Coturnix japonica: one gene and its partners. The protein of the gene in region 3 binds, or shares a complex with, the protein of the main gene of each other region. Links are inferred from orthologs where the notes say so. Each region holds a gene or a part of one and is shown on either strand. Other genes may lie near its edges. The genes, in order: LSM5, GEMIN4, SNRPD1, RBMX2, PRPF8, SF3B5 and CWC15.

Region 1 (4,093 bases), about 40 Mb from region 3:
ACGCATATTTAGCAAAACCCAGCCATGCTTCTGACTGGAGATCCTGCGCCTTTTTTAAGGGCACATGTTACAACTGTGCCATAAAATTACTGAATCTGACTCAAAAGCACCCTGGGTCTTTCTCTTTTGGAAGTGTGCTGTTCATTATTAAGAAAATATAAATGATTTTTATCTTTTTTCCCCTTTACCTTTGTTTACCTTTTTAATATTTCCTTTTATATTTACTCTTAAGTCTTTTATTCACAGGAAAATACTTTGCTGGCTTGTTTCCTACTGTCTATAGAAAGGTTTGGTCTTACATGTATACATATAGCGGCTTTGCTTATCACTAAAAGTCAGGAAGAGCAAAAAAGCTTCTCAGCATAACAATGGTCTGGAGAAGAATCAGTTGAAGAAATGCTTCTTGAAATGCTCTTAAAAACAAACTGTAGAATTTCAAGATTCACCTTGGAATGAGTAACAAGGACAAAAAAATGTATGTTCTTTAGGAACTCCTTTGTTAAAATAATATAAATAATAATAATATAAAATAATTATTTTACCCACACAAGAAGTCAGAACATGCACAATGCATTAAAGATGCAGAACAATAACCGAAGCAAGAAAAGGTTTTGAAATTAAGTCAAAATAGCTTTTACTCAGAAGGGTGAGATAGCAATATGGGGATTATTCCCCATTCACACAGAACAGATAGACTCAAGTCAGCCTTCCACTTGTCTTGTTAACAAAATCATGAACTGCCTTATGCAGGAAGTCCAGATTTTGCACCCATCTGTGCAGGAAAGCAAATGATGTACTGTGAGTCTGCTTTTGTGGTAAAGTATCTACAAAGATGCAGAATTCACTTAGTGATGCTCAACTAACTACAGTATTGTTTCAGTACTGATCTATACACATCAGCGAGTAACAACCAGAAAGTGCTTCTGATTTGTTATAGTCCAACAAAACTCCACCTTATTATTTTTTTCCAGAGCATCCGGCATCACATGATAATGATTAATAATAGTCAAGTAACTTAACAAGCTTATAAGTATCTGAGCTGCTGCAAACACACCTATACATAATGGATGAACTGCAGATGTATCCCAACCCACAGACTTACACAGACACTCATGAGTCAAAAGCCACTTTGTCAACCAAACTCGTCCAAAGATTCCCTCACACACCTTATGAAAACCAAAAAAGCATATACCAAAACTATAGTCATGCCCATGCTCCTCTTTTCATGCATTTTAAACCATAAAATATATGAAATATAGCAATAAGATCACTTTCCCAGCATCATTCATAAACCATATGCCTTAGAAACTACTCAAGTAGTTGAATTCAATCAGATTTACAGGTAAAGAAACACAAGCAGACTATTTACAGTGATGACTTACCATTGTTATATTATTTCCATTTAGCAAAATCTGGTCTAGTTTTGTGATTCTTCTGCCTTCAGGTGTGATCTCACTGAAGCAATATTAGAAAAAAAAATATGAGCATGCAATCATCAACAATGAATAAAGTTCTGATTACAGCACCAATGCAAGTCCACATATTAAGATGACATTTACTGGAAATAACACTGCAACATCATCTTGATGCACTGACCCACTAGGCAGGGAAAGCTACCTGGCAACTAAACAGATTTGCTGTATTTTTTTGTTCAGCATATAAAGACACAGATTTGCCCTCTAAAACTTGGCATTTTTTTCAATAACAATTCAAAACTGCTCAGTTTATAAGTATCTGTGATAGCACAGACCTTATACCGCATTCTTTCTCAGGAAACCCAAGTCTGAATAGCAATGAGAGACAAAAATAATACTTACAATTCTGTAACATCTTCTAACACCATATCTGAAAGCTCAGTTTCAAGGAAAATAAGGCCCAGATTTCTTTTCATAGAACTTGAAGGGACTGTAAAGCCCACCCAGTTCCAAATACAGAGCAACCCCTGCTGCTGGTAGGCTGCACCCACTAGATCAGATTGCCATGGGGCCCATTCAGCCTGGCCTTGTACACCTCCAGCAACAGAAGCATTTGATCATCTTCACAGCCCACCTCTGCAGCTGCTCCAACAGCTCTGCATCCTTCCTGTGCTGGGGGCCTCACAAGGGCAGTATAGAGATGGGCAATTTATTTTACACCAAACTGTGATTTTAGCGATAAAAAAACAAACAAAAACCACTAACGAGCAAAAAACCGATACCAAACAGCTTAATGTTCTTAACAATAAACGAAATGATTTTCCCCATGAAGCTAATGGCCACAGATAACACCCACCAAAGGATACTGACAAAGTCATCAAATCCTAGCAGAGTTCCAACAATTTCCTTATCGCTCTTCATCACGATATGAATGCGAGAACCTATACATTTGTCCACAAGCTCTGTAGATGTTAAAAACAACAAAAGTGCATTAGTGTATTTGCAGGAAATCAATCAGCCCAGAGGTACCCTCCATCATCTCCGACCGACTGGAAACAACAGCAACGCTACACCCGGAGCACGTATTCCCTCAACACGAAGAGGGGTGAATTAATTTTGTTACATCCCGATTTAGTTTCTCGCTCATAGATCCCGATTTAGCCCCTGTTGCAGCCTCTCCCACCCCGGTCACAGCCTCCCTCCCTCCCCGCCCGAGCCCACGCGAGAACCCGCCGGCAGCGCTGCCCACCGAGCGGCAGGAGCTGCGAGGGGTTGGTGCTCGCGTTGGCCGCCATATTGCCGCCAGAGCTGGCCAATGGCTGCCGCCTCCTGAGGAAGTAGAGGCTGTGGCGGGCGGGACGCAGCCCTGAGTAGCGGCAGGCAGAGCGCTCGTTCTACCGCCGTGTTCTCCTTTGGGCTCCGACCGCAATGGGAATTCAGTTCCGCTCCTGTTTATACACACTGCCATGTCAGGTGGCAGCCTGTCTGACTGCCCTTCTGCTGCCATCGGTCACAAGGCAACAAAGTATAATGGAATATAACGGCAGGAAGGTGTAGCCCCTACTGCCATACCAACATCCACCTCTGATGTCATGGGCCAGCATAATAAAACAGGAGGCGTTAGTTTGAGAGCAGCTCTGGTATATATGGCTGAGTTTTTATTGGTATCTATTAGATATACACTGAGAAAGAAAATTCCAGCAGGATTCTTTTATTTCTAAGAGCTTCTGCTTGATTGCAGCTCTACCCTTCCTTCTTATCATTCGCTTGCTAGTTCTGGATTGTTCCTTATAGCCTATCTTTTGCCCCCTAATGTATCTAATTTTAATAAAACCAAGCACTTTCCTATATCAGTTTCATCGCACGCTCCCGCTCGGCGCCCACCGCACAGAGCACAGAGTGGAGGGCGGGGCGGGCCGGGACACAGCGCGGCTGGGGGCAGGGCGAAGGGGAAGAGGGCGGCCCCGCTCCGCCTCCCCTCGCCGGGCTCTGCGGAAGCGCAGTCGGTTGGGGTCCGTCCCTTCGGCCTTCGGCACCAGGAGGCGGAGCGACAGCCCGGCCTGGGCGGTATCCTCCGGAGCGGCCATCGCCGGGCTCCATGGAGAAGCGGGGCGCGCCGCCGGCCGCCCCTCCGCGGGGCCCGGTGTTGCATATCGTGGTAGTGGGCTTCCACCATAAGAAGGGCTGTCAGGTGAGGGGTGTGAGCGCTGGGCCCCGGGAGCGTGCCTCTGGTTCTGGGCTGGGCGCTGCCTGCAGCGGGCTGGGGGCCGGTTACGAGCCCCTTGCTGCGATCCCCCGCCGGTGCGGGCTGTGGGGGGCCCGGGGTCGGGCTGGAGCGGTTCCGCGGGGCTGTCTGGAGGGGACGGGGCCACCCAACAGCTGTGCGTTACCGGCGCTCAGTGTGTCTTCAAGGCCCGCTGTGTTTCGTAGGTATTCTGTGCTCTCGTTGCGTTTCCTCCTTTGCTCTCTAACTAAATCTTGGCGAGGCTGTTGCAGGAATGATTTATTTATTTATTTATTTGAGACTGAGTATATAAAATGCCATTTGATCCAATCAAACGACTGGTATTCAAACTCTTTTCTTCAAGTCTTACATCAAGAATTACATCTGGCATTTAAACTCCTGCAGTCATTCCACGTTCTGTGACTGGGCAGTATCTAGAAACCTGAGGAAACTG
Region 2 (4,186 bases), on a different chromosome or scaffold from region 3:
AGGGAGGACCTGTATGAGGGCCACCAGGAAGCCTTTGCTGAAGAGATTCACTTCCTCGGGGTTGTCCACGTTGACCATGAGGAGTGAGAGCATCGTCTCTCTGAGCTCAGTGGACACACAGCAGCACTCCATCCATGCCAGCAGTCCACTGCCCGGCCCGTAGGCTGGCAAAGGCTGGGATGTCCATTCATCTTCAGGGAATGTGCAGATCTCAAATAGCGTCGCTGGGACCTCATTCTTGAAGTGGTCTCCATAAAACTTCTTCAGTCGGAGACCAATGGTCCAGTCCAGCGATGCCACCTTCCTGTGAAGCCAGGCCAGAGACTGGACCCAAACCTCTGGGGAGGAGGCAGTTTCTGGAGTCACGACCTCACAGAGCTGGCTGAGGACACTCAGCACCAGGTCTTTGATCTCCAGGGATGGGAAGAGCTGGTCCTTAGGCTGATGCCAGTACTTTGTGTAGCCATCTAGAAGCTTGCAGAGGCTGAGGAGAAGTGGGAACGGGTGGCAGGACTTGATCCAGTGCTCTTCTGGGTAGGACCGTATTCCCAAAACTTTACTGAGGATCTGCAGGCTCAGCTCAATTTGAGCACAGTCTGATTTCAAATAGGGAAGGACAAAAGCTTTGGTCACTTCTGCAGGTGATACGAGTGGGGCAGCTGAACTTGGCTGCAGGAGAAAGGCCAAAAACTCAAGAAACTGTTCCTCCTCCCTTGCAGAGGAAAGCTTTTCCCATGCTGCCTCCTTCAGGCACCGTACCACCAGGCTGCCTGGACCATCATGAGTCTCCAGGAAGCTCAGAGCTGGGAAAGAGCAGAGGATTTGCGCCAGGAACTGATGTGCTCCTAGGTTGACTACAGCAAGACTACAAATCTGCTTCACAGTGGCCTCAGGGTGCAGCAGAGCAAGCCTAGCCACAGCAGCCACAGCCCTGGTAATGCCTTCATCAGATAAGCTTTTAGTGATCTGGTTGAAAGTCACATTGAGGTCCTCCTGGAACCCATCCATGACAACCTGCAAGTTCAGGGAGAGCCCTGGCCCACCCCAAGCCTCCAGGACACCCGAGATCACTTTGTTTTTGTCTGTTAATGGAAGCTCACTGTAACACTCCACAATGGCTTTGATCATTTGCATCTGCATCTCCCGGGCCTCACGGCCTTCACAGGATGTGGCAAAGTTCACCAGAGTCTCCAGCAATTTCCAAACCAGCTCTGGTTTCTGGAAAAGAACCTTGTTTTTCACAAGGCAGTCAACCCAGCCCTTTGAAAAGGCCCAGGTCTTTTCAGAAGCAAAAATGGAGCACACTTCCATGTGCCGGTGCAGCTTTTGCTCAATGATTATCATGGCAACTGAGGATTCAAGGCTGGTGTCCAAATCCTTGTTCTTCTGGGTGGTGCTGATCTCTGTGAGAAAGCCATCAACTGTCTGTGCCAGTTGTAATGCAACACGCATCTCATCCTCACTCAGGTCTCCAGTCTCAGAGAAGCGAACCAGGATCTTCCTGAAGGTGGAAAGAGTATCAAGGAGCCAGTAGCTCTCATAGCATTGATTCTCTGAGCTGTTCAGGACACCCCGCAGCTCCTCTCCCCAGGCACACAACAAGCTGTGAAGAAAGTCCAAGCCAGCTATGAGTTCTTCATGCGACAGCTTGGCCATGGATGAGAAGCTCATGGTCCTCTCAGCTTCCTTCACTTTCTCATCCAGCTCGCTGTGGTGGTGCTGGCTTTCAGTGTCACTGCTCCAGAGGCCGACCACTGAGCTGACCTTGGCCAGGTACTCTGCAACAGGGAGGGGGCTGCCCTGTGGCTTCAGCTCGGTGAACACAGACAGCAGCTCCACCAGGTTGCCCAGGGCGTAGCACTTCATGCGGGGTGAGGTGATGCTGCCGTAGCTTTGCTTTAACCCCTCTATGAGGACCCCAAGCAGGCTGTCTGCAGCAGGAGGGCCATTCAGAGAGCTGGGGTCCCCCTTGAACCTCTTTGGGGGCTGCAAGCCGTCATCCAGAGCGCACTCACAGCCGTGCTCACGCACCAGGGAGCCGAATGCAGCCACCGTGCTGTCCTCCGGATCCGGCTGTTGTCTCAGCGCCTCCCACCACACATCCATGAGCAATGTGACATCCGACGGGGCCGTCTCGTGGCTGACATATTGCACCAGGTGCCGCAGCTCAGCCCGGCTCACGTCGGGGGGCAGCGCCAGCAGTAACTGCACGAAGAGCCGGGGAGCGCCCAGGGCCTTCACCAGCTCGAAGAGAACGGTGCGGTTCACGTCGGGGATCATCGCTCCCACGGAGAAAAAGGCGTCTTCCTTCCACTCCTGGTCCAGGGAGGCGGCGGGCGGGGCGGGCAGAAGCACCTTGGCCCACACGATGGCCACGGCCTCCTTCTTCCACAGCCCGTGCTGCCGCGGTGAAGGGCAGCGGGCCCCGATCTCCCTCAGCGCGTCGGTGATGGGCGGCCCGACGAGCGGCCATTCGGCTTTGAGCAGCTCCCTCAACGGCCGCGGCTGCAGGAGCCTGGAGGCCAGCAGGAAGCCGCCGTGCAGGATGGCGGTCTCCTCGCACACGCCCCACGGCCCGACCCGCTCCCCGCTGCCCGGCTCCATGGCGGCCAACGGAGCAGACAACGCAGCCCGCGCTCCGCTCCGGCAGAGCAGGCGGCCGCCGCGATCCCACAGCGCCCCCTGGCGGAGCGGAGGTGTCTGCCCCCGGCTGGAAGGACGCTGCGCACACAGCCGCGCGGTGCTTCTATTCACATAAAATTGCATAAAATTCACATAAAATTGCATAAAATTCACATAAAAATTTATTCACATCAAGGCTCATTTCCAACAACGGCATCACCGTCAGCACTGATCCGACCCCGACTCATTGACTGCATCAACGCCAAAGCAACACCGGCACGTCGAGAACTGTTCCCATTTAGACTATTCATTGCAGGCATTGCTAATGCTGCTGCTTTTCATCAAGAGATCAATAACGAGCAGCCTGACCGACAGCACCGGGCACTGCAGCTGCTGCTACCACACCAATCTCAGCCCTGCGCTGCAGTCAGGACGGCTACAGCTCATTCATGACAGATCTGGATACTTTAATCAACCTGGCAACTTCTCCTTCAAGTGCAACCGCACTAGGAGGCATTCACCTGCAGCTCCAGCGTTGGAAGCCACGTGCCCAACATCCTCCCTGCTTTACACTCACGTCTGAAGTTGCACCTGATATTTGATTGAAAATAAAGAGGAGCTTGAAATGAAAGAGATACAAGCTGAAAAGGAACCAACAGAACAGCATGGGACGTGACTGAGCCCTCCCATGGGATGGACAGCACAGCTCAGATGAAAACCAAGGCATGATGACCTGCCAGCCCAGCTCCTCCTCCAGCTATGCAGACACCTTCTTCATATTCCGGGCAGCAAACCACGTGTCGCTCTTGTCAGCTGCCATGGCCTGAACAAAGGAAAATAGGAGCATGTTTGGCTGACTCAGCTGCCATTCCAAACACTGAGCTGCCCACTTTCACCACCCTGCCCCACAACAACAGGCTGATTATCAGGCTCTATAATCCAGGGGGAAAGCCAGCCTGATGAAGAAACTGTTTCTTGTATATTAGTAATGAAAACAGGCACTGAAAGCTGCTCTGCTGCAAAGAATATTTGATTCCATGGGCGGCTGTGATCAGGATGAAAACAAAAGACAGATCATTACTTACATCATCCAACAGTTTGCCACCATTGGGATCCACCTTGGACAGATCTCGAAATGCTTCATCTCCCACAAAACAGATTTCATGGCCATCCTAAACCCAATTCAACAGCAGGTCAGGCAGATAAACAGGAAAGAGACATTGATTTTATTACTGTTTCTGATGCTACTCACAGGATCAGCCAAAATGACCACTTGCACTGTAGCTTTGCCAGGTGTGTCCAAGCTAACCAGAGGCGTTAAAATCTTCTGGTTCTCCTTTTTCATCAGTGCTTCAATGTTTGGCAACTTAAAGAGAAAACAAATAACATCAGCCTCAGTCAGGTGAAGCCAGGGCATATTCAGGCTGTTCTCATTTATAGTTTCCTGCTATCTGCAACTTCATTGCATTCCCACTGTGAGAAATGTAAACTAAGGATCTGATCAGCGTTACTTTGATCATCTCTGAGAGATTTGGCTGATAGCAGACAGGTATCTCCTAGTACT
Region 3 (4,218 bases):
CCAAATAATTAAGCATAAATTACAGGAGAAATGGCAAGCAGTTGCTTTAGAGCACGATTACCTTTAACTTATTTCTGGAAAGACACACTGATTAACACTGCTGGGCAAAACTTTTACTGCCTGAAGACACAAACTTTGTGGAGTTTACTGGATATTAATTGTTAACGGCGCAGAACAAAACCAGAAGCATTCCCTATTCTGTTAGGCTTTAAGGGCTTTATCCACAGGAACACAGCCTCAGCTCCCTCTGCATTCTGAAGCCCCTTCAATTCGGTTCTCCAGCAGATTGTTTGTATCCACTGCCAAGTGAGATTTCAGTCCAGCACCGCTCCTGAGGCTGCTCTATATTTTCTTATTAGGCTAAATACAAAGTTACACACAGAAACCAGGGAAACAGAGCAGACATTTTGAAAAGAGAAACTGTGCATCCCATTGGTGCTGCCTCTGAGAATGCCATAGGTTAAGATTTACTCACACTTAAAGACGTTTACACTTTAAAACAGATGCATGAGAAGCTGTGTAAATAACTTCTCATGAAAGGAGACTACAGACACAATGAAGGTACACAAGGCAGAGTTCGGTACAAACCCTCAGAGATGAAAGCAATACAGAAATTAAGATTTCCAATCACATGCCTTCAGAGCGAGAGCACGAAAACACAAAGTAAAACAAGCAGAGACTGGGAAATCATGCACTCACCTGCTTCTCTTTTCTTGGACTTGACTTTTGGTTCAACATCTACTAGCAAGGTGTCCAGGGGCAAACTGTCTGGTAGGATGAAGTATCGGATGTTATTCCCCCGAATGCTCAATGTCTCCAGCTGTACAGGCTCCCTGTTCTTCAGCGTCATTTTCACAGCCTTGAGATGAGTATTCATACTGACATCCACTCCTGAAATAACACAAGGCTGATTTCAGGGGTGGGAACACACAGGATGACTCCTCTTTGGCTATTATTAACTGTGCACGTGCTTCAAGACTTTGCTAACACACGCTTCTGGATCTGTGCCATTTGTTAATTAAGCCTCTTAAGTGGAAGAAGAAACTACATCTTTTTTTCCTCTATTAATTATGCTGATTTATCAGCTGCTGCCCTCAACACTGATATATTTCCAAAGGAAGAGCCACTTACCACCAGCTGTAGGGATCTGTTCCTAGGTCTTAAGTCATAGCAACACTAAACACTTAAAATGATTCCTCCGGACAACAAATAAACTGCCACTTACTACAAAAGCATAATATTTGTCTTTTTTACTCCTTTCAAAAGAAAGAAAACGAACTTTTGAGTAGAAAAATAACACTGCGTTTCCTTCTAAGTACAACCATGATCTTCTGATCAAACACATCTAACATCAGCATCAGAAGCACCAACTGCAGGTGGCACCGTGGCTGCAACAGGCTTCGTACACCCATGTACAGGGATGACTGTCATTTTAGAACCATGGATGGCACTGCAGGGTTTTACAGGTTCTTAGCACAGCATGAGAGAGACTTTGCTCAACAGCGAAGGCTGTGAGAGTACAAGGGTAGGAGGCACAGAGTGCTGCCACCACAGCCAGCTTCTAACAAAATGGACGGATCTGGCTGCAAAATAACGTGCTTTTAACCCTTACATCTCAGTAGATTGTAACCATGTTCAGCATTTACCATTTATCTGTGCTACCGTTAGAAAAATATCTCTCTGCCAGTGACTCAGTGGTGACTTCTTGATGCAACTACAGTGTACTGCAGCTTTACCAATGAGATCACAGAACGGTTTAAGTTGGAAGGGACCTTCAAGTTCCAGCCCCAAAATGTTCTGAAACATAAGTGGATAGGCTGTATGACCACTGCCCTTTGATACAGCAGTGACACTGTCTCACAATGCCTGCATGCTGCTGCAGTAATTTCAGATTACCACACTTACACCAGCCACGCCAGCACCGGTTTCCTTTACCCCACACAGCTCAGATCAGCCTGGGAGGCTGCTGGCACACCGTACCTGTGATGGTGCCATGCACCTGCGTCCCGTTCTTCAGCTCGATGGTCACAGTCTCGTGACTCAGCTTCATCAGAAACCTAGGAATTAAGCACAGAGTGTTTGCTGTCACACTAAGCCTTATGTCCAACCACATGCTGATACGGGGAACCGATCGATGTACATCCTAACGCAAACGTTCTCAGCTGCCATGAACTGCACTGAAGGTGCTCCATGGGGCAAAGCCAAAGCCCCAAACGGCGCCCAATTGCCAGGGGCTGGAAACGGTGGCACCGGGCTCAAGCAGCGTCGGGACAACGCTTCCAGTCACAGGGTTTGTGTTTTGAGCGCCCTGCGTGAGTTGGGTTCGGGATCCCTCGTGCATCCCGTCCAACTCGGGCTGCTCTCTGACCACCAGCTAAGCAGCAGCCATTTTGGATCTCGGCACCGCGTGAAGGCGCTTCCACCCGGCTCCGCCCCCAACCCCCCGGGGTGGTTTCCCGGGCAGCCCCGCTCGCAGGCCCAGCCGCTCGCCGCAGAGCCCAGGCCGCAACGAGGCCCCGACAGGCCGGGCGGCCTGTGTGTGGGGAGGGGGAGGCGGCCTGCGCGGGCTCCCCGCCGCCTCTCTCCGCGATCCGCCTCCATCCGCTCACCTGACGAGCTTCATTGCGCCGGCGGGACGGCGCGGCGGCCGCGGGGCTTTCGGCGGGCAGCGGCGGCCGCCCCTGGGGGCACGAAAAGGCCTCGGCGGAAGCGCCGCGAGCGCGGGCGGACAGGAACGCGGCCTCCAACGAGCGCACCGAGCCCCGAGAGATTGAGCGGCCGCCGCCGGCTGCGATCAATGGGCGGAAGCGGCGCGGCGGAAGGGGCGGGACGCAGCGCGACTGCGCGGGGCTGAGGGCGGGCGGGCACTGAGGGGATGCGCTGCCGCCATTTTGGAATGGTGGGCTCGGGATTATACGTATCTAAGCACTGTAGCTGTGTGCAAATAGTCTAGTCCGCACCAGCGATGCTTCTACGTTAAGCAGTTGATAAGGAGCTCAGGCACACAAACGCAGCGGCCAGGATCTAGAAAAATCAGACCTTTTATTATCATTGATGAGTACACTGTTGTGATTTCTGCAATACAGACTCTTTTTGTAAAGCACTGAGATCTGGCTGCCCTCCAGCTCTGAGAACCCACGTTAACCCACGTCTCTCCCTCCATCCCTACACACACACCACAGCTCTTCTTTTCCACATGAAATCTGTTATTTTATGTTTTGCTTTAAACAAACCGCAAAGAACCAAGTTTGAGAGGGCAGCTGCCCGAGAGCCGTAAGAACCATTACATACTGAGTTTATGGTGTTCCTGCACTTTGAGTCTATGACAGAGGTGACACTGGTAAATGAAGTCAGAGAGGAGTTTCCAGTTAACCACCAATTGGTATTCCCAGCACAGCATCGAGAAGCAGACAGAGGCATGGTGAGTACTGATGTTTATGTGCAGGTTATGCTCACATAGAACCAGAAGCCTCCAGCAACATTCAAGGTTAAAATGAACAGATAACTGCAAAAGTCTGTACACAGTTTCAGTCACAACACAGTGAAACACTGGAGTATCAGTGCTTTGTGTTCTAACCTCAGTAACAACAACTGTGCTAGCTCTAAGATTCTACACGTTTCTCCCCCCATTTACATTTTATAACTGCAATCTGAATATACAGCTGTACTTACAGGAAATATTAAACAATGTGCAGCGCCTTAAGCAAGTTTCACGGCTGGTTTTGAACAAACCATATAAAATAAGTGACAAAATAGTTTAAAATTGGTCCTCAAGTAGGATTACTTGTTTTTTATACAGCTTGGAAGCACTAAATTTAAAGACACACATTTATTGTTAACCAGCACATGTTATTTTGTAGCTTTTTAAAGAAAAAAACCTTTCCTTTTAAAGTGTGTTACATCATGCATGAAAAGCAAGAAGCTGCTCCCAAGTGCAACATGGCATTAGGGTGACACCTCCTCCTCTGATCCATACTCCTTTTTTTTGTGAGTTATTCCAACAACATCAAGAACAGAAGCAGCTGACTAGCAAAAACAATACCAAATTCACCTTTGCATTGCAACCATTCTTAAAGTGATGGAGAACTTTGGGCCTTTAGCATAAGGAAGGTTTGATAAACCCTGCAAGGAGTTTTACATTCTTTGATTTCATTTACATCCATTGAAAGAAAAGAAAAAAAAACCCAAACCTGTATTTTCAAGAGCTAACTAATGAAT
Region 4 (4,073 bases), on a different chromosome or scaffold from region 3:
ACCCGCCGGTACCCGCCGATACCCGCCGATACCCGCCGGTACCCGCCGGTACCCGCCGATACCCGCCGGTACCCGCCGGTACCCGCCGCAGCTCACCGAACTCGGCCACGATGGAGGCGAGCCCGCCGTACACGAAGGGTTTCCAGTTCAGCGCGGACATGGCATGGCGGGGCGCGCCGCCGCGCCGGGCCGGACACTGCCTCAACTCCACCCGGAACCGGAAGCGCGGCGGAACGGGAAGCACTGCGCCCCCCAGCCGGGCGGACCCGGCAGCTCGGCCCGCAATTGGGATCCAGCGGCACCGCCCGAGAACGGCGGGGAGGAGACGGGAGAGCGCTGCAGGCACGGGACCGACCGGAACCACCCCGAGAGCAAAGCGCAGCTCAGATCCACTGCTGTGCGCTCCCCATTTCTGTGTCAGCTGCCATCAATGCTCAGTCCAAACAGCACAACCGGACACAAGCAGTGCTCCCAGTCATCTCCTCTGGTTAAAGGATCGATTTTTATTAAAAGGAGTTTAAAACAAAAAACGCCATGAACTGCGATGGCTCAGCAGCCTCTGATATCCATCACATAAACAAAGGAAGCAGGACGGGCTGGGGGCACAAAGCACCGTGCCCGCCTGCAAGCACCCACCGCCCCACTGCAGACAGGGACGCTCCCCCTGAACAACGTGGGCAGTTTCGGTGTCCGTATCCTGCTGCTCAGCACCCCACTGCCCACACTGTGCCGTGAGCCCCTCCACAACCGTCTGAGTGATGCCACTGCACAGAAGGGCCGAGCAAGGCAGCAGCAGAGCCCACATCACAGCCCACAGCACTGAGAGCAACCTGTCTGAGGAGTGAACCGGTCAGAGTGGTGTGTGTGAGACGAGACACAGCTGTGGTACCCTTAGGGCCATAGCAGGAGGCTTCAGACAGGCTCCCGGTGCAGCTCACAGAGCACAGCTGTGGCCCAGAAGGTGCTCACTCCAGGGCTCAGTGACGGCTGGAATCTCTGGTGGATCCACGCTCCCTGTGCTTGGAATGGGGCTCTCTGCTGCTGCTCTCCCGCCGGTGCCTGGATCTGCTTCCCTCAGAACACTCTTCTCGCCAGCTGCTGTGTCCCTCACCCTTCCTGCTGACCTCTCCTCTCTCTTCCCGTGAGCTGTTCTGCCCTCTGTGTTCCTGGGAGCTCTTTTCCCCTCTCCTCCCCGACGACCTTTGGTGTCTCTGCTCTTCCTCATCTCGCTGCGTCCTGCTCACGTGTTTCCTCTCAGACTCACTGCAGGACTGCTGACCCCCACCAGCAGCATATCGCTCGTAGCCAGGATCTTCCTTCTCCTTTTTAATCTTGATTCTCGGATGTGCCTCTTCGGCAGGTGCTGCTCTCTTTGCAGCCTGAGAGCTCTGCTTTTGCCGTTCATGTTTATTCTTCTCTTTATCTGAAACAAAAAGGTCATCCTTAGAGATGGACAGTCCTGCAAGCATCATCCCCACCAGTTCTGCTACAGAGCACCAGAGCTCTGTAGAGAAAGGCTTTATTGGAGCCTTTCTTCTCCCTGTCCCCCACTGTCCTGCCCCCTCCCCCTTGCAACATCCCTGCAGCCCAGCCCAACTCCTTTTCTCCAGGAAGAGTGCCACTATAACCTGCAAAATAAGGATCTCCAGAGGCAGGGGGTGAATGATCATAGATAAATACTGGCAGTGTGACGCAGATCACAGAGGATAAGCCTGGACATTCGGGTTGCATCTGTTTTCAAGAGGATCCCTATCCCTGCTGTACGCTGAGCTAAGAGTCCCTGTAGCCCACACAGATCCTCCCACCCAGGGCAAAGATGGGCAGAAATGCATTTCACCTTTTTGCTTTTGGGCTGGCGTGTCTTCATCCTCCAAGGAGGAATCTGACGACGTATGAGGTGGTGTTTTCACTCCGCAGCCCTTTGCATGGAGGGCTTTTGTGACATCATCTAAATCATCGGAGTCCTTGGGAGTCCGGTAGTTGGCCACGTGGTCCACTCGGATCGTCCTGCCTTTGATCTAGGACAGGAGTCAGGTAGTCAGCAAAGCGTGTGCTGTGGGGCCAGCAGCCGATGGAGCTTCTCTCTGATGTGCTCTGAGCGCTCCAGGAGCTGCTGCAGCCACACAGCTCCATCACTCACCTTGATCCCATTGAAGTTATCAACAGCAAGCACGGTGCTCCTCTGATCCTCATAGCACAAAAAGCAAAACCCTTTGGACTTCCCAGTCTTCTTATCCCGCACCAGATTAATGTTCACCACCTCCCCGTACCTGGAACACACCATCAGCAGCCACAGAGCAGGGCTGGAGGGGCACAGCAAGATGGGGATGGAGCAGGTAGGAACTTACTGCGAGAACACACAGATGACGTCCCCCTCTGTCAGCTGGTAGGGCAGCCCGCCTGCGGGGGGAGACAGGGCAGCGATGGAGGCCCAGCACGGAGCCCAGCACGGAGCCCAGCATGGAGCCCAGCACGGAGCCCAGCACAGGGCCTACCACAGCCCTGCTCTCTCCTCCCTCCCCGTCCCCCCATCGCGGCCTACACGTACCGATGAAGACCCACGCGCTGTCCTTGTACTCGGCGTGCCACGACACCGCCTCGCTCACGCCCAGCTCCGCCTCCCGCGCGTTCAGCTCGTTGATCAGCTTCACTTTGGTCAGCGGGCTGGGGGCGATGCACTCCGTTAGCACCGTTAGCACCGGCCGGTCGCACACCCCCCCCTCACCCAGCCCCCATCCAAACCTACTTCATGGCGGCGGCGGCGCGCACTGCGCATGCGCCCCCCTTACCCCCCCGCCTCCGCCCCCGCCCCGGCCGCGCATGCGCGCCAAGCAAAGCAACGAGTCCGAGGGCTCCGCACAGCTTTATTGGTCGGCGCTCAGCACGGACACGCGCTTTTACCGTGGGCGTCACGTGACGGCTCTAGCTTCTGCGCCCGGCCCGGCCGCTTCTCCATGTCGCGATAGAGCAGCGACTTCTGCGCCTTGAGCCGGCAGGCCAGGCACATGAAGATGGACTCCACGTTCTGGCTCTCTTTAGGGTCCTTGGCCGAGGTTTCGAACAACAGCATGTTGTGAGCGTCGGCGAATTTGAGAGCCATGCCGGACGGCACCTGGATCAGGTCCTTCAAGTCACACTTGTTCCCCACCAGCACTTTGGGGACCAGGGGGGACACGGCGTGAACGTTGCACTCCTCGATCCACATCTTGAGGTTGGTGAAGGACGCCATCTTGGTGACGTCGTACACGAAGACCACGGCGTGCACGTTGCGGTAGTAGTGCTCCACCATGCTCTTCCGGAACCGCTCCTGCCCGGCCGTGTCCCACACCTGCACCTATGGGGCACAACACGGCGTGAGCAGCCATTGCTGCTGCAGGATGCTGTGCTGCTGCTCTGCTCATTGCTGTGCTACAGGGGTGAAAGGCCCCAGCCCGGTGACTTACCTGCCCCATGTTGGTGTACCCAGCCATCATCCCTGTCAAACTGCACACAGCACTGCTCGTGTCAGAACAGACTAACACACCAACCCACCTAATGCTGTGCTGTATGAGGACACTGAAATGATGCTCTGTATCCACAAAGGAGGCAGGGCAAAGAGAGCGGCGTTCCTGCATGGAGCTCTGTCTGGGGGAGGAACCAGGCAAACAATAAGGATTAAAGAGCCGAGAGCCATGGAGACAGGGCAGTGTGCAGCTCCAGCCTGATCAGGGAGAGTAAATGGAAGGTGCCCTCTGCAGACAGATGGGAGTCTCATGTTTGCAGGCTTAGGCCCTTCTGGAGGCCTTCAGCCATTCCAGTGTATGCTGGAGGGGCAACACAGCACAGCTTAAAGCGTGAGATTCCAACTTCAAAACTCAAGTGATAGAAGAGCCAGCGAGGGAAGCTGCTACGCTGGGCCAGCTTCAGCAGGGCAGCTGTGAAGGTAAAGCCAACTCATTAACCAAGAGGTGGCTCTGAAAGAGTCCTGTGGGTCAAGGACCTATAGGAAAATGGGACCAAAGAAAGCTACCCAATACTGATGTGCCTCCACCTCTGAGCTGCCCATGTGAACAAAGAGGAAGTCAAGCAAAAAT
Region 5 (4,219 bases), on a different chromosome or scaffold from region 3:
AGTGAGCAGCTGATTAGCCAGTCGATACAGCGTGGACATCATAGGCAGAGTGAACTGCCAGCGCTGGTAGGTAGAACCATTCACATACCTGCAGAGAAACAAAGCATAGGACACTAATTTTGCAGCCACAAAACAACTGGTCTTCTACCTTTCTGCTATTTGCAGAAAATACGAAGGATAGATAACTCTTGTCCCTCTCCAGGCAGAAAAATAAAATGTACAGGCTTGTTGAAGATCTCCATGGACTACATCTGCCAGTTCCCCTCCATCTCCATTATCAAACTGACAAGATTCAAGAGCCTCCAGTTTGTAAACGCACTGTATATTTAATAAACTCAAATAAAAGCTAGATGATCCAGGTTTTCACTCTTATCATGTGTCAAGAAACATCAGTTTTACCAGTTACCCATGCAGTAACCTGCCTGGACAGAGAGGGATTGATTGCCTTCCCTCAGCACTGAAGACAGAGGGATGACTACAGCAGTCAGATTCTCCCTCCTATCCTTGAAAGAAGGTTTTCTCATCCCACCAACACCATGCATAGACCAATATTATATAAGCAAAAGTTATGCACTTTTACATACATTTAATTTATGTAGTGCATGAAGATTTTAGTGCTTATTTTCTTAAAGCCCCACAGTGAATTGTGTTACCAGGCAGGCACATACTTCCTGTTGTCTTTCAGTGGCTGGTGGTCGTAGAACCAGTCCAGTACTGGGGCATCTTCCTCCGGATCCAGCTCAAGCTGAATTGCTTCCAAAGGCTCCACATCGAGAATGTTATCAGCATAATCCAGAGGAGGTTCTTCATCATCAAATGGGGGAAATCTCATTCTCTTGAAGTGACGTCTGTCCCTCTTCTCTCGCCTCATCATAATCCACATGGACCTGGCAGAAACCAGAGACCATTACATTACATGCTGCCTTTATTGTGGATGTGTGGTTATTCACTCATTGTGTCCCCCCAGAGTTAAGTAAAAAGCACTTACCCCCATTGTGCAATGTACACTGGTTCTATAACCCAGGGAATCTCATTGACAAAAGAGATGGCTCCTGTGATGTGATACAGGACTGGAACATCTCTGATTTGCTCCCAGGGCATAGGCATGTTCTCCAAGAGCTTCAGAACAGCGTGAGGCATGTACTTCAAAGCACTACAACCAGAAATCAGGGAAAATTACAGCTGGAAGGCATCGCCAGAGAACAATTACCTGTCTGCAGCAAGTTCAGTTACCTGTATACCTCCCACTCATAAAACTGCTCAGCTAACCTGCACATAAAGGCCTTCTGTGATGAACCCACAAGCCTTCTTAACTATCCTTCTGCTTCAGATTCCACTACCAAAAGGCTTTTCCTACTGGTTGGCTTCAGAGAGATTGCTATGCATTAAAAACATTCAGTAATAATAATACTAAAAAACACCGAATGAGTTTTTATGGGTAACTACATGAACGCAACAGACCCTGCTTTACACAAGACAGTTCTCTGAGCACAAACAACACAGAGACACCCACACGACACTTTAATCACAGGGAAAAAAGGCTGATTAGGTCACAATCTCCCCCCAAAACCTCTTCTAAATGATATTTTGCCTTAAGAACTCCAAGCAAACACTTCATCATCTCATCCTCTCCTGCACCCCACTGCCACCCTTGTGCTGTGATGCTGCTGTCTGAGCTCAGCTGTCCCCAGAGCCCCATTCTGAAGGCACCGCTCCTCATGGGGAGCTCCGTACCCCAGATAGACCCGTTTATCGTGGCGGAACTTCCTGTTGGTCATATCGCCGTGATCGCGGATGATCTTCCTGACGTGCTCGGGGGGCATGTCCTCCTTCTGAGCGTCCACGAAGCCGAATTTCCTCTTCTCGGCATAGCGCTTGGCCTGCAGCTGCTGCCACTTGCGGGCTGCGGGGACACAGAAGTAACGGGATGAGGTGAGGCCGGTCCCGTTGGGCGCGGTGCGATGGATCCAGGCCGTACTCACCTTTCTCCTGCAGCTTCTCCTCAGACATGTAGTCAGGTAGCGGGGCCATCGGGGTCGGTACCGGCGCGCAGCCGCCGCGGTACGGGAAGACGGCGGCCATGACGACACACCTGTGGAGGAGGAATCACAGAATGACCCGGGTTGGAAGGGACCTCAAGGATCATGTAGTTCCAACCCCCTGCCTGGCAGGGCCACCAAACATACACCTTTACTAGATCAGGTTGCCCATGGCCCCGTCCAACCTGGCCTTGAACACCTCCAAGGACGGGGCATCCACAACCTCCCTGTGCAGCCTGTTCCAGGGCCTCACCACTCTCCTAGTGAAGAACTTCCCCCTGACATCCAACCTAAATCTTCCCTCTTTTAACTTCAAACCATTTCCCCGTGTCCTGCTACTGTCAGCCCTTTCCAAGAGTTTACTCCCCTCCTGGTTACAGGTTCCCTTCAGGTATTGAAAGGCTGCAATGAGGTCACCCCGCAACCTTCTCTTCTCCAGGCTGAACAAACCCAACTCCCTCAGCCTGTCCTCATAGGGGAGGTGCTCCAGCCCCCTGATCATCTTCCTGTCCCTCCTCTGGACCCTGCCCAAAATCTCCATAGAGATTTGAGGAACAAGGGGCTCAAACCGGGATCACGGCTCCCTCCTCCCCCCTCCCGGTCCCTTCCACATCCCCGCGGCCCGGCCCCCCCCGCACACACCGGTCGCTGCGACGTCCCGCACTCCCGCACCACAATGGCGGCGCAGCCCACCACCACCGCGCCTGAGAGACCCGGATGTGGGTGGGGTGCGCGGCTAGAAGGCTCGTCCAATCAGCTTTCGGGGCAGCCTCACAGACAGCGGGGATAGCCAATCAGAGCGCGGGGAGGGCAGGAGGCGGGATCAAGTGCGGAAGAGGAAAGGAAGCTGTGTTTAGAGTACACTACCGGTTGAATGCCTATTCATTTCCGGTCCCGCCCTCTGCCGATTTTGATTGGTGGAGAGGGATAGCGGTGACAGCTCGACGCCGGCTCTGATTGGACAATCAGATACCGTAGCTATGGGGCCTAAGAGGCCTAAGGGGCAGATATGGCTGTCCCAGCTATGGGCCCTAAGGGGCAGATATGGCTGTATGGGGGTTTCCTCAGGCAGCCTCCCCTTTGTACATGGGTATCCCTTGTGAGAGAGAGAGAGAGGCCCCATCTCTGTCCCCACAGGTTCCCATCCCAAAGCTGGGCCCTGTATCCTTCAGTTTGGACACACAAGCCATACCCACAATGTGTTCCTATACAGCAGGCTGTATGGAGCCAGCACTGTGAGACATCCCTTAGGGCTCAGAACAACGTCCCCAGTGTGTGGCAATGGTGTGACAGCAGGAACGTGGTGACAATGGCAGCCTTGAGCAGCAGTGGCTGTGTGGGCACAGAGCTGCTGATAGAGGCACCCCCAGCAGCTCCACAGCCTTCAAAAGCAAATTGGGTGTAAAAAGTCCTTTCCCTTTAAAGCCTTGAGCTGATTTGTTTGCTGTTTATTGAAAGCCTGTGTTAGTAAGAGCTGCTGCTGCTGCTTGAGAGCGTTACACCAAGACTTCTGGTTCCTCATAGATGCCCATATCTAACCCATGTGAAACATCCCATTCACAGGAAGCAACTATCACACACCATCATCCTGACCTGCAGCTCACGTGCTCCCACACTCACTTATAGGGAGTTAATAGATCTGGGAACAAAATAACACTAGAAAAGTTCCAGTTGTCTGAAGTTAGCAGCCTGTCCCCAAGGATGGCACTGAAGCTCCCACTGTCCCTAGTCCAGTGCCAGCAGCATCTGATAAGGACAGGTCCAAACCTTCATCTCTCACCTGGCACAGTCTCCTCTGTGAGGAATTATAGGTGCAGGATTTGGCTTTAACCAGCCCTGGACTGAAGGGCAAAGCCTTGGAGATGCCTGGTGCTGTCCCATGGGAAGTGCCAGAGGTAGAACAGAGTCCCTTAGGCAATAGGACCCTGCAGGGTGCAGCACCTAAGAGGTTAGAAACACACAGTAGTGTTTGCACGTCCAGAAAAGCAAAGGGGAAACAATTCTCCCTGCTCCCTTCTCAGGGCTGCCAGAGCCTTCAGGGCTTCTCTGAGCAGCTCCTGGTTGTTCAACCACATCATCCATAGGTGCTGGAGAGCAGAGCCCCCAGTGTCTGATCCACTAGCACCTCCTCTGCCCAGGATCCACAGCCACAAGTCCAAGCAACACTGAAATAGCCATCC
Region 6 (2,434 bases), on a different chromosome or scaffold from region 3:
GTTAATTTATTGTCCTTATTTAATTTCTCTCACAAGAGATCTTCATTCATTTTAGGCTACCACAACTTCCAACAATTTTTTTGCACTATTGTACTTGCAGAATAAATGAATATGGTTAAGAATAGAGGAATTTCTTAAATATATATATATGTATATATATATATATAAATGACACCCTTCATTTCATCACCTGTGTGGGCTTTTATTGCAGTTATCGTTTAAAGTAATCCTTTCCCCTTTTTGGAGGGGCAGCTATGTCTTTTTCATTCAAAGAGCCTACAGGAAACGTGAAAACACGGCTATACCTTGAAGGGGACAGTCACTACCACCCTCTATTGGTGCATCTGCCTCATCTACTCTGTTCCTTTTGATCTTGCAGCAGAAACCCACAGCTCCCGTGCAATGAGTACGGAGTCGGTACAGCTCTGACACCCAGCGGCCACTTCACTCTCGACCGGCTCCTGAATTCCAGACAGTTTCAAACTCGGCTTTGACTGATTGTTGCTTAGAAGATAGATAGTTTAGGGTATTATATTGTTTTATTGTTTTGACACTGCTTTGCATGGCCTTGGCTTCATAAGATGCTCATTTATGAAGAAGCGGCCTTGAATCATCTGGATTAGATTTCCGTGGGTTTCTTTGGACTATACAGCATTTACAAAGAAATAGCTTGAAGCATCCTCTCAGAAAATTGCTGGCTACGTGTCTTTCCTATTTAAAAGCAAATAATTAAAGTCAGCACTCCCATGTGACAGCATGTATTGTTCCACACTTATTAAATTTAACATGGATTTTAAAACTAGAGAAGAAAAACTGCTTATTTGATGAATAATAGAATGTATTTCATTCCCAACTTTGACCAAGTTTGATAGGTGATACAAATTATAATTTACAAGTTTTATATCTGATTATTCTATGATCAAGAAAGACTACTTATTTGATGAATCATAGAATGTATTTCAGTCCCAACGTTGACCAAGTTTGATAGGTGATACTAATTATAAGTTTTCTATCTGCTCATGAGTTTAATATCCACATGAAATATTACCCACATCAACAAAAGAAAAATAATTTCCAATGGTAACATTTGATCCTAGCTTAAACATAGCCCTTGTGCCTGCCCAGCTGCAAAGTTTGCCTTTGCCCACAGAATCATTAAGGTTGGAAAAGACCACTAAGGTCAAGTCCATCCATCAGCCCATCCCTGCTGTATCACTATGTCCCTCAGTGCCACGTTCAATTGGCTCTTGGACACCTCCATGGTCCAACATGTCCAATCTAGGACTACACCCCCCGACATGCCTTTATAAACCCGCATATTCTTCCCCCCCCCCCCCCTCATCCGGGATAGTCGGCGAAATCCCCCCCGCTCTCCGTTATGGGAGCGGAAAAGGATCCCTTCGTCCTGTGGCGTCATTTCCTGCCGCCATTTGACTTGCAGGGGCAGCGCCATGACGGACCGCTACACCATCCACAGCCAGTTGGAGCACCTCCAGTCCAAGTACATCGGGACGGGCCACGCCGATACCACCAAGTGGGAGTGGCTGGTCAACCAGCACCGCGACTCGTACTGCTCCTACATGGGCCACTTCGACCTGCTCAACTACTTCGCCATCGCCGAGAATGAGAGCAAGGCTCGCGTCCGCTTCAACCTGATGGAGAAGATGCTGCAGCCGTGCGGGCCGCCCGCCGACAAGCCCGACGAATCCTAACCCGTTGCCCTGCACACCGGCTCCGGGCTGGCTGTGACTCCACACGCCGCGGGGAGATGGTGGGAGCCGCCCCGATCCTCGTGTCCACCGAAGGGAGCTGCAGGGAGAAGGAAGCTCTGTGTAACGCCCTCTCTTGGACACTTTCGTTACGCTCAGTTGCACGGCTGTTCGCCCTTTGTGGTTTTTTTTTAATGGGAAATAAAATCCGCTGTCTGTTTCTAACGTGTTGTGTGGTAATCAACAATAGCAGGACACGGGGAAATGGTTTTAAGTTAAAAGAGGGAAGATTTAGGTTGGATGTTTGGGGGAAGTTTTATTCCTAATGGAAAATGTCAAAGTAAAGCCTGGCTAAGGTTGTATGTGAGTTTACCAGTGGCTTTTTTGAAGTTGGTGACCTCAGAATTTCTGAGCAATAAACGCCTCATACTCTTTACCAAGCCTTATAATCTAAGCTGCTGAAGATGCTGCAGTAAGAACAAGTGCATGCACTCCTGAGGTCACATTCAAGCCATAATATCCATCTGAAGAACTCAGGAATAGATTTTGTTGTTGCATGTACTACAATGAGGGCAAAGATGAAATGATCCTGAATCAAATGTAACCTGCTACATATGTGGGGACTAGTGCTGTTTGCAAGCCATTGTAAACAATGTGAGCAACAAGTGTAAGGCACATGGGCAGAGCTGAACGCCTCCTTCCTCCAGGCCATCTCTATTATATGA
Region 7 (4,184 bases), on a different chromosome or scaffold from region 3:
AATAACAACATGCAGCAATTCCTTTCACCTTGCTGTGAACTCAGGTTTGGAAATAAGAGTGTCTGAAAGAAACCCAGGCTCCAGTCATTAGAAATACACTGCGTGCACAAGCTGTCTTTATGCTGAAGCATTTCATTTGCTTTTACAATTAAAAACTTGAATTCAGAATCCCTGACATGGCTGCAAAAATCCCCCCCAGGCCTTTTGTCAAAGAGGCACGGGAGAGTGGGACTGAAATACCAAATCTTTCTTGCAATTATGCAGCCCTTGGCAAATTAGCAAAGACAACTTTGTATTTGATATTTGGGAGAATGAACTTAAGATGCTTAATGCCCCTTCACACACACATACACACTCACTCAAAGGGATTCGTTACCACACACACATCGTATATTCCTGTATGTATTTCTTCCCACACACTCATTTCAGAACAACAGACTGGTGCTCCACACTCCCGCTCTGTTTAAAGAGACAGACCACCAGCCACTTTTCCCTTAATAGCACATTTTGTGCTGTTGCTTTTGGTGATCTCTGAACATCCCACCTCCCGTATCCATGTTACCTTCAAAGTTATTCAAATGGGTGGAAGGGAAGCAGTGAAAGGGTAAATATCTGCACTAAGAAAGCAAAACCCAAGCAACAGTTTAAGCTAGAAAAAAAGACTATTTTCAGGCTGACACAACTCAGTTAAATCCTGTGGCATGTTGACTCCAGATTTCATGCTATCTTAAAAGAACATAAATTATTAAGCATTCCAAACACAGGATAGTATTCATATAAAATCCCATTATCTTTCACACCAGTTAAAGCAACAGGCTCTTCTAGAACCCTTCTAGTGTTTAACATCAGCTCTTCCAATACTTACTAATGCCTGAGTGCTGTTACACATTGCCCTGCCTCTTCTTAGTGCTCTTCCCCAGGTTCTTTGCCAATATATGACATACTCAACTTCATACCTCCTATCCCATCTTGTAAGTCACACCACCTTTCTAGCTCAGCTGTCTCTGTATGTTCCCAATGCTTTTCTTTTCACTCCATTGCCTGAAATGCTTAATCTGTAAAGATTACCTTCTCCTGATTCCCTTCCACAAGCAGTTATTGACACCACTAAAACTAAACCTTCCAAATCAGTTGCAACCCACTCAATCTCCTAAGCCTGCTTCTGTGTCTGCTTAATGTCAAGCAAACAAATATCTAACGTGAAAGAAATTCAGAGTGTTGGTCACATCACAAAGAAAGAAAACAACAAAACAGCTCCAGGCTGCTTTGCTATAAGACAGACAATAACGATACTTACCTGTATTTGATTTTAGTATGAGAGGGAAGGTCTCTGCTGGAATACTGCTTGGATAGCTGACTTAAGTCTCCTTCACCTTTTCCTCTCCCTCCTCTTGCAGGCTCAAACGTTGGCCTCGCTGCTGTCGTCATTTTAGTTACTAGAGTCAAGGGCAAAAAACAGTCATTACTATAACTTAAAGTGAAAGCCATTCACCAGAAGCTACGTCATTCTTGGAACTGCTGCAGCAACAGCAAATCCCACTACACAATACAAATTATCAACTGGTGCATGAGCCTTAAAGCTTAAGAGCTTCTTTTACTGACAGCTTCTTTTCCAACATGCCTGAAAGATGATAGAGACTCAATCAAGAATGTGAGGTCATGTTTATAGAAGTGGATAAAATGCCAGGAGCCAGTCTCCTATCCTTATATCTTGGTAGAAGAGTAATTCTTTCCCCTCTGGAAAAAAACACAGGATCTAATAATGAAATCACAGAACTGTGGGGGTTGGAAGGGACCTCTAGAGATCATCGAGTCCAACCCCCCTGCCAAAGCAGGCTCCCTACACCACGTCGCACAGGTAGGCGTCCAGGCAGGTCCTGAATATCTCCAGAGAAGGAGACTCCACCACCTCCCTGGGCAGCCTGTTCCAGTGCTCCGTCACCCTCACTGTAAAGAAGTTCTTGTGCACATTCGTGCAGAACTTCCTATGCTGTACTTTCATCCCATTACCCCTAGTCCTGTCCCAACACACTACTGAAAAGAGACCAGCCTCACCACTATGGCTCCCATATAACTGATGCCAAGAAGTGCTCAGCACTGCACAAAGCAGCTGGAGGCCACGCAGACCCAAACCATAGAGCCAAAAGTTTAGGGCAGTCCACCAAGAAACAAACAAAACAAAAGAATCAAACCAACCAACCACCCTGGATGACCCATCAGTGCCATCTTCAGTCTGTTAAACGAAACTACACACATCCATAAGCACAGCCTAAGGACTTAAATAAGAGACATACAAAAGGTGGTGAGGCCCTGGCACAGCTGCCCATAGAGCTGTGTGCCCCATCCCTGCTCAAGGCCAGGTTGGATGAGCCCTGTGCAGCCTGAGCTGCTGGGGGCAACCAGGGGTTTGCTCCGATCAGGTTCCATCAGCGCAGCATTGGAGCAGCCCCGTCAGTGCCGCACAACGCCGGCTCGGCTGAGCCGCCTCCATCGGCGCTCTCCCAGGCCCGTCCAGGCCGCCCCACGGCCTCAACCTCCCTCCCGGTGTCCCCCCAGGCTGCCCACCACCCCAGGGCCGACCCTCCACATTCAGAAGCCCCGATTTAATCCCTTCAATCCCCCTTCTCTGACCTCGGGGTCTCCTCCCGCTGAGCAGCCGGGCCCTACGCCACCGCCATCATCCCGCCCTCTACCCACAAGGCGCCGCGCAGCCACCACAGAGCGGAGCGGCGGAAGGAGGAACTACCATAGAGATGGAAGGCGGAAAAACTTGTTACCTCAGTGCGGAATTGAGTCCGCCATGTTCGATAATGAAGTGGAAATAGACGCTGTTGGTGCCTGAGTGGCACCTGCTGTCCGCCCTGAGGTACAGCAGCACTGCGTGTGAGCTGTGCTTTAAAGTCGTGTATGACTGTGAGCAGTACACACACCCTGCTGTGCTGCCATAGAACCCTTGTGCTGCTGCTTTTCTGTGTGCTTACAGAGTCATCCCAGCTCCTCCCGGCTGCCTCCCACCCCGCTGGTTCTTTGGCTGTTTGTGCTCAGTCACAGCTCCTGCTCCACTGTCTGCCTTTGCTTCCTGATGGCTGCCAATGGCTTTGCAATGAGGAAGAGACCTTGTGACTATTCTCAACAGAGAAAAATCCACGAGTCAGCAAGAATTCCCTGCAAAAATAAGCACAGAACCTGAACTAGGCCCTTCCTAAGCACCCAGGAGAGGCTCACAGGGGAACGAGCCATCCCCCTGCAGCCCACAGGCACATCTCGCATCTCTCATACTGTGTCCAGGTGTGGAGCCCTCAGTACAAAAAAGACATGGAGATTTTGGAAAGGGTCGAGAGGAGGGAAACGAAGATGATCAGGGGACTGGAGCACCTCCCCTATGAGGACAGGCTGAGGGAGTTGGGCTTGTTCAGCCTGGAGAAGAGAAGGTTGTGGGGTGACCTCATTGCAGCCTTTCAATACCTGAAGGGAACTTACTCCCAGGACGGGAGTAAACTCTTCGAAAGGGCTGATAATAGCAGGACTAAGGGGGACATGTTTTAGAGATTAAAAAGAGGGAAAGATATTTTAGGCATCCTCAACGCGCACTCGCACTCTATCATACCAGGGGGAAGTTCTTCACTCAGGAGAGTGGTTAGGCCCTGGAACAGGCTGCCCAGGGAGGTTGTGGATGCCCCGTCCTTGGAGGTGTTCAAGACCAGGTTGGACAGGGCCCTGGGCAACCTGATCTAGTAAAGGTGTATGTTTGGTGGCCCTGCCAGGCAGGGGGTTGGAACTACATGATCCTTGAGGTCCCTTCCAACCCGGGTCATTCTGTGATTCTGTGATCTCCGTATGCAGACATGGAGGAGCCCACTGTGCAGCAGTGGAAGAGTCCTGGAGGCGGAGCAGCCCCAGGCCAGGGTGCAGCCTGTGGAGAGGAGCCTACAGTGGGGCAGGAGGGCTGGGGGAGCTGCTGCCCGTGGGGCTGTGCTGGAGCAGTTCCCCACCCACAACATGATGTCAGCTGAAAGGCACTCAGCAAGGGAGGGAGGAGGGTGCTGGGGGCATGGGTGGCACTGAGGAGCACACAGTTCTGCCGCTCTCTATCACAAGCTCGTCCCTGAGGATGAATTATTGTTTCTGCAGAGTCAAATGGTTTCTTTGAGCTCTGACAGAGCAATTAATTTTAGCCATGTGAT

What was found.
Region 1: SNRPD1 (region 3) and LSM5 share a complex: the UniProt entries of both Homo sapiens proteins name them as parts of the U4/U6-U5 tri-snRNP complex. The link is inferred for Coturnix japonica from reciprocal best matches to the Homo sapiens genes SNRPD1 and LSM5.
Region 2: SNRPD1 (region 3) and GEMIN4 share a complex: the UniProt entries of both Homo sapiens proteins name them as parts of the SMN-Sm complex. The link is inferred for Coturnix japonica from reciprocal best matches to the Homo sapiens genes SNRPD1 and GEMIN4.
Region 4: SNRPD1 (region 3) and RBMX2 share a complex: the UniProt entries of both Homo sapiens proteins name them as parts of the minor spliceosome. The link is inferred for Coturnix japonica from reciprocal best matches to the Homo sapiens genes SNRPD1 and RBMX2.
Region 5: SNRPD1 (region 3) and PRPF8 share a complex: the UniProt entries of both Homo sapiens proteins name them as parts of the U4/U6-U5 tri-snRNP complex. The link is inferred for Coturnix japonica from reciprocal best matches to the Homo sapiens genes SNRPD1 and PRPF8.
Region 6: SNRPD1 (region 3) and SF3B5 share a complex: the UniProt entries of both Homo sapiens proteins name them as parts of the minor spliceosome. The link is inferred for Coturnix japonica from reciprocal best matches to the Homo sapiens genes SNRPD1 and SF3B5.
Region 7: SNRPD1 (region 3) and CWC15 share a complex: the UniProt entries of both Homo sapiens proteins name them as parts of the minor spliceosome. The link is inferred for Coturnix japonica from reciprocal best matches to the Homo sapiens genes SNRPD1 and CWC15.

The regions. Positions count from the first base shown.
Region 1 is NC_029517.1:78,884,415-78,888,507, reverse strand, and holds the start of LSM5 (U6 snRNA-associated Sm-like protein LSm5), read right to left. Parts: upstream 2,801-4,093; 5' UTR 2,711-2,800; coding exon 2,665-2,710; intron 2,378-2,664; coding exon 2,282-2,377; intron 1,846-2,281; coding exon 1,818-1,845; intron 1,456-1,817; coding exon 1,383-1,455; intron 1-1,382. Other genes in the region: late secretory pathway protein AVL9 homolog, read left to right, coding at 3,514-3,606. UniProt on the Homo sapiens protein: Plays a role in pre-mRNA splicing as component of the U4/U6-U5 tri-snRNP complex that is involved in spliceosome assembly, and as component of the precatalytic spliceosome (spliceosome B complex).
Region 2 is NC_029534.1:5,681,792-5,685,977, reverse strand, and holds the start of GEMIN4 (gem-associated protein 4), read right to left. Parts: upstream 2,801-4,186; 5' UTR 2,788-2,800; coding exon 1-2,787. Other genes in the region: GLOD4 (glyoxalase domain-containing protein 4), read right to left, coding at 3,380-3,445, 3,708-3,794, 3,875-3,988. UniProt on the Homo sapiens protein: The SMN complex catalyzes the assembly of small nuclear ribonucleoproteins (snRNPs), the building blocks of the spliceosome, and thereby plays an important role in the splicing of cellular pre-mRNAs.
Region 3 is NC_029517.1:39,382,146-39,386,363, forward strand, and holds the start of SNRPD1 (small nuclear ribonucleoprotein Sm D1), read right to left. Parts: upstream 2,801-4,218; 5' UTR 2,624-2,800; coding exon 2,610-2,623; intron 2,058-2,609; coding exon 1,981-2,057; intron 892-1,980; coding exon 700-891; intron 1-699. UniProt on the Homo sapiens protein: Plays a role in pre-mRNA splicing as a core component of the spliceosomal U1, U2, U4 and U5 small nuclear ribonucleoproteins (snRNPs), the building blocks of the spliceosome.
Region 4 is NC_029519.1:1,522,345-1,526,417, forward strand, and holds RBMX2 (RNA-binding motif protein, X-linked 2), read right to left. Parts: upstream 2,801-4,073; 5' UTR 2,752-2,800; coding exon 2,747-2,751; intron 2,665-2,746; coding exon 2,549-2,664; intron 2,401-2,548; coding exon 2,349-2,400; intron 2,271-2,348; coding exon 2,141-2,270; intron 2,019-2,140; coding exon 1,838-2,018; intron 1,424-1,837; coding exon 978-1,423; 3' UTR 470-977; downstream 1-469. Other genes in the region: SLC25A14 (brain mitochondrial carrier protein 1), read right to left, coding at 97-160; RAB33A (ras-related protein Rab-33A), read right to left, coding at 2,879-3,334. UniProt on the Homo sapiens protein: Involved in pre-mRNA splicing as component of the activated spliceosome. As a component of the minor spliceosome, involved in the splicing of U12-type introns in pre-mRNAs.
Region 5 is NC_029534.1:4,156,542-4,160,760, forward strand, and holds the start of PRPF8 (pre-mRNA-processing-splicing factor 8), read right to left. Parts: upstream 2,801-4,219; 5' UTR 2,682-2,800; intron 2,093-2,681; 5' UTR 2,083-2,092; coding exon 1,983-2,082; intron 1,904-1,982; coding exon 1,735-1,903; intron 1,154-1,734; coding exon 989-1,153; intron 888-988; coding exon 669-887; intron 89-668; coding exon 1-88. UniProt on the Homo sapiens protein: Plays a role in pre-mRNA splicing as core component of precatalytic, catalytic and postcatalytic spliceosomal complexes, both of the predominant U2-type spliceosome and the minor U12-type spliceosome.
Region 6 is NC_029518.1:41,251,704-41,254,137, reverse strand, and holds SF3B5 (splicing factor 3B subunit 5), read left to right. Parts: upstream 1-1,398; 5' UTR 1,399-1,451; coding exon 1,452-1,712; 3' UTR 1,713-1,934; downstream 1,935-2,434. UniProt on the Homo sapiens protein: Component of the 17S U2 SnRNP complex of the spliceosome, a large ribonucleoprotein complex that removes introns from transcribed pre-mRNAs.
Region 7 is NC_029516.1:165,900,184-165,904,367, reverse strand, and holds the start of CWC15 (spliceosome-associated protein CWC15 homolog), read right to left. Parts: upstream 2,801-4,184; 5' UTR 2,778-2,800; intron 2,744-2,777; exon of another isoform or gene 2,632-2,743; intron 1,437-2,631; 5' UTR 1,429-1,436; coding exon 1,298-1,428; intron 1-1,297. UniProt on the Homo sapiens protein: Involved in pre-mRNA splicing as component of the spliceosome. Component of the PRP19-CDC5L complex that forms an integral part of the spliceosome and is required for activating pre-mRNA splicing.